Linked DNA regions of Xenopus tropicalis. The protein of the gene in region 1 interacts with the protein of each later gene in a biochemical or structural test. Links are inferred from orthologs where the notes say so. Each region holds a gene or a part of one and is shown in the gene's direction. Other genes may lie near its edges.

The links.
Region 2: the proteins of pdzd2 (region 1) and ctnnd2 form a complex in vitro, tested with the Homo sapiens proteins (2 studies listed by BioGRID and IntAct, with this or other methods). The link is inferred for Xenopus tropicalis from reciprocal best matches to the Homo sapiens genes PDZD2 and CTNND2.

What each region holds. Positions count from the first base shown.
Region 1 is NC_030677.2:200,771,284-200,775,420, forward strand, and holds the start of pdzd2 (PDZ domain-containing protein 2), read left to right. Parts: upstream 1-1,296; 5' UTR 1,297-1,646; intron 1,647-2,190; exon of another isoform or gene 2,191-2,541; intron 2,542-4,137.
Region 2 is NC_030682.2:70,700,657-70,705,094, reverse strand, and holds the start of ctnnd2 (transcription factor E2F7), read left to right. Parts: upstream 1-1,576; 5' UTR 1,577-2,100; coding exon 2,101-2,140; intron 2,141-4,438. UniProt on the Homo sapiens protein: Has a critical role in neuronal development, particularly in the formation and/or maintenance of dendritic spines and synapses. Involved in the regulation of Wnt signaling.

The sequences.
Region 1 (4,137 bases):
GGGGAGCCATAGCTCACACTGAATCTTATTGTCTGGAGCCACACTGGGGCAGGGGGGACTGAGCCATACACTCGCCCTGACTGCACACTGTATCCTTAGCTTTAAAGGGGCAGTTTACCTTAAAACTAACTTTTAGCATAATGTATATATCAATATTTTGGTTGCCAGGGACAGTGACCTTAACAACCTATGGCTTTTTCTGTTGCAGTCTGGAAATAGGCAGAATAGGAACACATAATTAAAAAATGCCTGTAAGATATATATATATCATGTGACACAGACAGCAGAAGGACTGCACTGTATTTCCATGAATGCAGTTTCCCAATGGTGCAGCCATGCAACCTGCATTTATTATATGAGTCAGGTGACTGGTTCTACAGAATCCAATTGTTCGGCCTACAACCCCAATGTATTGATTACAAGAACAAGGGTTGCTGCTGTTCTGGGACCTACCTCTCCAGTAGGGGGCTCCCCAGGGGTCAAACTGTGCTGCAGCCAGTCAGGCTGGTGGGGGACCCTGCTACCCACTTTACCTTAACTGGCAGTTTGGGCCCCCATATTAACAAGGGCCCCTGACTCACCAGTCCTGCCTGGATGCAAGCCAATGGGATAGGAGGGGGTGCAGTGCAAAGGTGGGGCCTGGGGCCAAGCCATTAAACTACTGCATGGAGCCAACAGAGCCACCACTGGGGGGGGGGGTACTCCAGGCAGGGGCCCCAAGATATCTGATAACAGATTTGCAAATGGGGCTCCAGGGAGTGGGCAGGGTTTGGAGGAGCCATATAGGTGGGTTTTGGCATTATGTGGCATGGCCAGGGCAGATCAGGGGGCATGGCCTTCTGTGTACAGGGCTTTAAACTTTAAATTCAATTAAAAAATTGGAGCCACATTGTCTGTGTTTGCAGGGCCCATTGCTCAGAATTTGGGCCCTGTAGGGCAAGGGCCATAAGAAAAGGGCCCCATGAATACTGATGGCAGCCCTGACTGCCATATATACATACAAGTATATGGTTGGAGTAGCCAGGGGTAGGTAAAGTCACTGGGCCCCACAGCAGAATCATTTTAGGGGCCTGAAACTGCCATTGGCCCCAGCAGTCACAGTCTGTGTATAGCTCCGCCCCTGCTTAGCTCCGCCCCTGCTTAGCTCCTCAGTGCAAAGTGGATTCCCAAATCAAAATCCACCCCATTTGCTGGAACTCCAGCCACTGCTTTAAGCAGATATCCCCGAACTATAGCTATATCTTTCTTTAAACTACAACTCCCAGCATTCTCCTAAAGCCAAGAAAGGCCGGCACTAATATCATAGTGAATATGTGCGTTCCCCTTGGTGCCCTGCTTAGGGCCGTTACATGTATTATATAATAACACTGAATTACAGTCAGAGCCTTCCCTTTCCCTCTGGGTTCCGATCCGATCAGGGAGGCGCTGCCATTGAGTCCATGTATCCCTGGGGCGCGGAGCGATACCCGGAGCCACTGAGCAGCCGCGGAACCGGCGGGAGAGAGAGATGGGCGCGTCCAACAGTGCGGAGAGGGGGGGGAGCCGGCTGTGAGCTGACTCTGCGCTGCCGATCTGATCCGTACGCTCCTCTGCCTCACAGGCTCCTCTGCCCGGGGTACGGCTCTATTCCCCGGCTACTCACACAGGTAGGCAGCCTGTATATGGGGGTGCGGGGGGGGGGGGTAACTTATATCCGATACCCCCAGGCGTACAGTTCTGATTACCTATTTAATGCCTTTAATGTTAAACTACAAATCCCAGCTGCCCTAGCGAAGAACTCTAGGATGGGAACATTCTTACATTCATGGGATCTGTGAGTTGTAGTTCAACTACCAGGTGGGACATCCCTACACTGTGTATGGTGAGAGCAGCTGTAAGTCGCTTGGGAGTCGCTGCTGCAGAACCTCTTGCAGTATTATTGGGTTCCTTCTCTCTGCCCTGGCACACAGGGGCTGGTATCCTGCCCACTGGAACAAATGAAACTGATAGTTGGCACTGGGGCCCCTGCTATGGCTTCTAGCTGTTTAGCCGCTGCCCATAATGACTGTCAAGTTGCCTTGTTGGGGGGGGGGGTGGTTCTTATTTCTTTAATTGTAGAAAAGCCATTGCATCAAACTGGGAAGAGGAGGAAGGGAATGGGTTAATGGTGTTAATGCAATCAGTGTGTCTCAGTGTGGCAGCCACATGGTTAATTGCTAATGGCTGCTTCTCCCCTAATACATTGGGACCAGTAATGTCTCTTTCCAGCAGTAAATGTTCTGGAGGTTTCCTATTCCTCATAAAGTCAGTTTATTGGTCTCTGCCCGACACTCCTGTGCCCCAATAACGGGAGCCCGTCGCTCTATAACTGACTCCTGGGCGCCGGGCACAGCACATTGATAGGGCAATGCCAGCCCATATTTACTTTTAATCATTTCTGCTCCTGAGCTGAAACCTGCCGCAGTGTTGTTTCCTCTGGCTTCCTGAGCTTCCTTATCTCCGTACCTTGTTTCATAATATAACATTGGGCTGCAGTACTGGGGCTTCTGACCAGTTTGAGAGGTAAGTTATATTGGGCTGTTTTGGGTGTGGGCACATACGGCACCTTGGGGGTGTGGCAGCGGATCTGCTCGTCCCACAGTTGATCCCAATTGAATGTAACACTGAGATTAGTTCACCCCATTGCATGGCCATTTGGCCCCTGAGGAGATTGGTCGAATAACGGACATGCCAGCCCTTGTTTAGGTGTTGGGCCAAACGTATGGTGCCCCCTACTGCCCTATACATCCCTGTGCCCCTGTCCCAATAATGCTCTATGGCAGAGGGGTGTCAGCTTTGTGCCCGGGGAGCCAATGATACTGCCCTGATACAAGATAATAATCTGTATCTAACTTCCTGCCCCAACGTGGTCCGTGGCTCTGCTGATCTGCATTATATTGCTCTATCCCTGTCCTTATCAGCCGCTGCCCGGGGGTTATTCTGGTGCAGTCAGATGTTGGCCCATAGAGCTTGCAGTGGGACAGCGGGGATTGGTGAATTGAGTGCTAAATGTTCATTTCAGCCCCAGTTGCCCTATCCCTGTGGGGGCCTAACTGAACAGAGATCTGAGTGGCCAAGTCAGTGGGTTTTTATGTGGGTGGCCAGCTTTAGCCAGTGGCTAGTTTATAGTGTAGCTATGGGCAAGGAAGGGGAGTGTGGGGGGGTAGTAATAAGTTGTTTTTGGAGCCCCTTCTAGCTGCAAGGAGAGAGGACTTACATCTGGCTGGATAAGGTGAAAGCCCACGGGGCACCCATTCATAGGGTTTGTTTTGGTTCTGATTGGCTCACATTTCCCATTAAACTCTCTAGGTGTTATTGGCCCATATCTGCCCAGGCAGATGCTTAGAATCAGGACAAAGGCAAACACAGTGTTTTTATTTCTCCATGGTAGAGCCCAAGGGTCAGTGAAGGCTGCTGGGAGTTGCAGTACAAAGAAAAGCAGAGGTTAATAACTTGTGCACCCCTACTTTATATAAATAGCGCAGTCTCGCAAAGTCTATATCACTCATAAATGCAGATGGGCATATTGTGTTGCCCATAACTGTGCCAAGCTCAGCCACTTTAGTGCTTTCTGTGCCATTTTTACTGTGTTTTGTTGCTTTGCTATGTCATAACTGGCATGACTTCTGTAATACCCATGAGCCTCTGGGGACATGCTGTGCTGCCTGCGCTCATTGTGTGGTGTTGCCTGCATCCACTGGCCACTGGGCAATACAAATCTATTTATTGGTATATTTGAAGTATATTTATTGTATGTGGGAGCTGCTATATTACTTGCCTCAACTGGGGCACAACTCCAGTTTCCCCAGGGCAGTTGCAGCAGTTGCTGTGTGTGAACACTAGGGGCGCTGTCCCTTACATAATACAACAGAGAGGCCTTACATGTATACATGGGAGACATTTCCATTGTATAAAATGGCATGATGGTTTCCAGGGGGAAAGTATGGCAGCTCCCACACTTTATATTTGCCACCTTGAGGTTGGGGATTGGGGAAGCAGTCTGTTTAAGCAGTAGGGATTTGGTTTGGGGGTGTAAGTAGGCATGGCCACTCTGGATAGTGTCTAACAGGCCAGGTGGGGGGCAATGGGCACAGGGGGCATGGGGGCCCCCCTTGTGTA
Region 2 (4,438 bases), on another chromosome or scaffold:
ACATGCGCACAAATAATTTTCCCTGGCATTTGTACGCATGCGTCTTATCTTATAATCGAATAGTCGCCATGGTAACGCATTAGCATATATGCCCATGCGTAAAAATAATTTTCACCATGGTAACGGTTTGCCTACCTAGAATTCCTGCGCATGCGTTTTTTCTTTCACTATGTTTCGGCGTAAATATGTCCACTTCTATTATTATTAAGAATACTTCCTTTCTCTATACTCATATATACCGTTTTATTGTGTGAACATTTACATTCACTCTTTTATTGTTGAAAGGTTATTACAGATACATTTTTGCCTTAGTATTATAACTACAATGTCATTTAATTGTATTTCGCATTGGTGTCCATACAAAGGGCGGGGGACACATTTGAACTACTCCCAGAGAATGAATACTTCACTGATAGTTTATATCACAGTGGCTTATTGTAGAATCTTTCCAAACTGAAATATATGTATCAGTAAATATTGCCTTTATACATGTTTTACCCTGAGCCAACTTTTTTGTGATGTCCCGTGTGCTCCCTCGGAGATCACCTGAAAGAAAATAATGCAGATCTAACTGTATTACAGAGAAAGAGGAAATCATTTTTAAAAAATTGAATTATTTGATTAAAATGGAGTCTATTGGAGATAGTCTTAACGTAATTTGGAGCTTTCTAGATAATGGGTTTCTGGAAAACAGATCCAATACCTGTACTGCAAATCTCTTTGGCAACTGCTGCAGCCTGAAACTTGCTACGTTTATTTGGTATCCCTTCTTACCTTAGTCGGGTCATATAATGCAGTATGGGTGAGTTTTATTGTCTGAATATTACTTCCCATAAAAGCCATAAAGCCTTTCATGTATATCTATAAACAAGCCATATAGTGGTCTATATAAGTTGCAGCATGGATAGTGACTGTTTGCTTCTAGTTAAAAGATTTATATCAGCTGCTGGAAATTAAATAAGTAAATTTATCACCCCTATTGTGTGTTATTTTCAAAAGAAATCTCAGTCTGAATGTGTGAAAGATAGCTATCTTTCTGTCTCTCTGTAATGTTCACCTAGCAAAATGTAATGTGATTTATTTTACTATATGTGGCTGTCAGTCCCACATGCTTCAGCTGAGGAATATTTTTTTTATAAGGGGTCTTAACTGTATTTTGAGACCCCAGATCCAATGTTTTCCATTGTAAATATTTTGCTGTTTTCCTGCATCTATAAAGAATTAAATATGTATTATTTTTTTACTGCAGTCTGACAATACCAATGAAAAGTGCTTTTCTTACATCTTTATACATTTTGCAACTGTATTCCATACCTATATGTCTGTATAAGACAGTATGCACAATCAGGTATGCACACAAAAAAAGTAAAATTAGAAGCATTTTCAGTAGGGTTTATGTTCAGAAGAACAAAGTTATAGCATGAATTACAAAAGCTGGAAAGCCCTAAAGCTGTCTGGTTACAGAATCTGTCAGGCTCCACAATTTGGCATGATAGCAGCGACAGCAGTAACATCAGCATCCAGCAGGACAGACCTTGCCTCTGGCTCGTTGTGCCGAACTCCTCCTCCAACCGGATTGGAGGGCGGAGGTGCAGGCAGGCGCGGTCCTTCATTTGAGAGACATCCACTTATCTTCAGCACCACGGAGAGCAGCGAGAGATGTGCCTTTGCCTGATCCCATATCTTTGAAAGCATTATGTCTGATGCACAAAGCACGACGCCAAGAGACTTTAAACCATAGGCTGTGGAGACAAGCTTAACATGTCCGTATACCAACAGCATCACAGTCACATACACAATACAGCCTAGCAGATCAGCATTCAGTGGATCCGGAAAGAACAGCATCCTGCAAGAGGAGAGTCGGGAAGAAGAAAGGAGGAGGGAGCTCTTTCTGCCTTAATAGGCACTGGATGCAGCTATCAGCATCTGTGATCAGCTCTCTAGGATTAGACACGGCAGGAAGGAGGATGCTACTGTTGCTTCTGCAGCTCTGCAAGGTCAGGATCTAGCATTCAAACAGATTTCTCAGCCAGCATCCCTGAGAGCTGCAGCTGCACCTGTACTGAGTGGATATTTGCTTCTGTTACCCGGTCGCCTTTTATGTTTGCCAAAAACCCAGGAGAATCTTCTACACCCAGTGGTGAGTGTGCTTTTTTTTTTCCTTAATTGCAATGAATCACCATTTTATTTTTAGCTAGATTTTAATTGGAATGCAATGTCTTCTTTGTGTGCAGGGATTGTGCCATTTTGTGTAGAATAAACATGTGCTATAGATCACAATGATATCCAACATCTGTGGTGTATCAAGGGAAGGGCCTATTTGGGCAAGGCCCAGTAAATAATTAATCAAACCCACCATGCTTGCAGAACTGACTAATATACCTGTATGTCAATGGAATTCCCTTCTGCCACTCATAGGAGTTTAGCCACTCTAAATGCTTGCTCACCCTCTACGTGTTACTGAAGAAGGAAGCAGATCACCCACCACCCCCACCCCCACCTTAAGCTAATGAGAGAAACATAAAAGGGAGGAGGAAAAAGCATGTCCCACTGCTATGTTACATGCATCTTAGGACATAGCACTTAAAAAATGCTGCAGAAAGTGGTTGCGTCCCAGAACTAATGTTACAAATCAGACATTTAAGACTTCAAGTTGATCCCAAGTCCTGTACCTTCTTTACTTCTAACATATCCAGTGCCCAATATTCTTTACATTCACTGTTGCATATTATTTAGTTAGTTTAGCTATTTAGCATTTTTTTGTAAGTATTCTTTTGAATACCTAACCTTAATCCTGGGTTATATCAAATCCCTATTAAACATTTCTCTATTCAGCCATGTTATGTAATATATCCGTATATGTGATCAGCTTCATTTGCATGACTCTGCTGATATGTTTTATGTATGTGATTAACAAAGGGCACTTCTATAATTCTTTCCTGTGCTAAAATTGATTTTCCTATTTTGTTGCATTTGCTATGAATTTGCAAAATAATGTATGTTTTTATCTAGTACTGTATAATTACAATAGTTAGATCAGAGGCTCATAATACGTCTATCACCTATATGTTTTAATATGTGAAATGTCATTATTTTTCCATTGTAGTTGTGATAATATTTTTGTAGATGAATTTACACTACACTGTTTTGCAAAACATTCAGATCTGTGATGCCTGTTTTGGGAAAGCTGCATCTGATAAGCCACTGAGATATTTAAACTAGAATCTTAATGAATAAAGCAAAAACTAACAAAATACATACAGTTAGGTGTCCTGCAGAAATTAAAATTGGTAAACTGGTATGGAAAAGATGTTTATTGTCTTGATATGCAGTGTGACAGTACAACTATTGTTATGGTGATTGGGGATCTTTGGTCAGAGATCACTAGCTCATAATGTGTGGCAATGTCACAACCATCACTCAAACTGAAAACACAGATACATTTTACCAATTTTAATTTTTTTTTTTAAGTGTGTGTCTTGCTATCTTACTATACTGTATTTCAGCATCTCTGTGGTTGCATTTGCTTTTGGCAATGAATGAATAATCTCTGCACTGCTGGTGAAAGTCATGTAATGTGAAATACAATATTTGAGTGATTCATAATTAATGTCTACATAGGAAGCTGATTTTTACATATCTAAAACTATTTTTTCTTTGTGTAATTATGCACCACAGTATCTATTGCATTCATAAACAGTGTCCCATTCATTTCCAATAAAGCCTTCTGTTTTGCAGACCTACCTACATTTTCTTTGGTATCAGTCATGTAAAAGACAACTACAGAGAAAAAAACCCATTAATGGTGGTATGTGATTATTCATTTGTTATGGACTACCACTAGGAGGTTTACAAAAGTTTATGTTTATGGTGTCATTCGTGTTAAATTTTGGTTTCTAGATGTCAAGATTGAGCTGTAATGTCTTATGTGACAGATATTTCCAAGGTTGCAAAAATAAGACTTGTTGCAATCACTATACACATGCATGTATTAAGAACCAGACTTGGCATTTCACTGGTGGCATTTAAAGATACACTCAGTCATTTTAAATACCTGTTTTTGAATAGCTGGTAAGGATTCATTATTGGCAAAATTCACGGAACCAGATTAAGGTTTGTTTTTTAAACATTGTGTAATGAGTAAGTCCATTGATCCAAACAAAGAATCATTTAAAAATCTTTATTATAACTAATGCACCAATTTTTTCTGTAGTTTATAACTGTATACTAGTGCAGGTAGAGCCTGTAGGGCAATCATTGATTTTGATCTTGTTTGGCAGTTTTCATGTATAAATAAATGCCAGTGTACATACATGATTGCCTAATGAGAACTTTTGTTGCTAGTAATTTTTAAAAAATGTTACTGAAAATAAAAAAGTAGAAGAAAGGACAATATTTTTTAGTTAAAATGTTTGGGCAGTAAGGCAGAATACTAAGG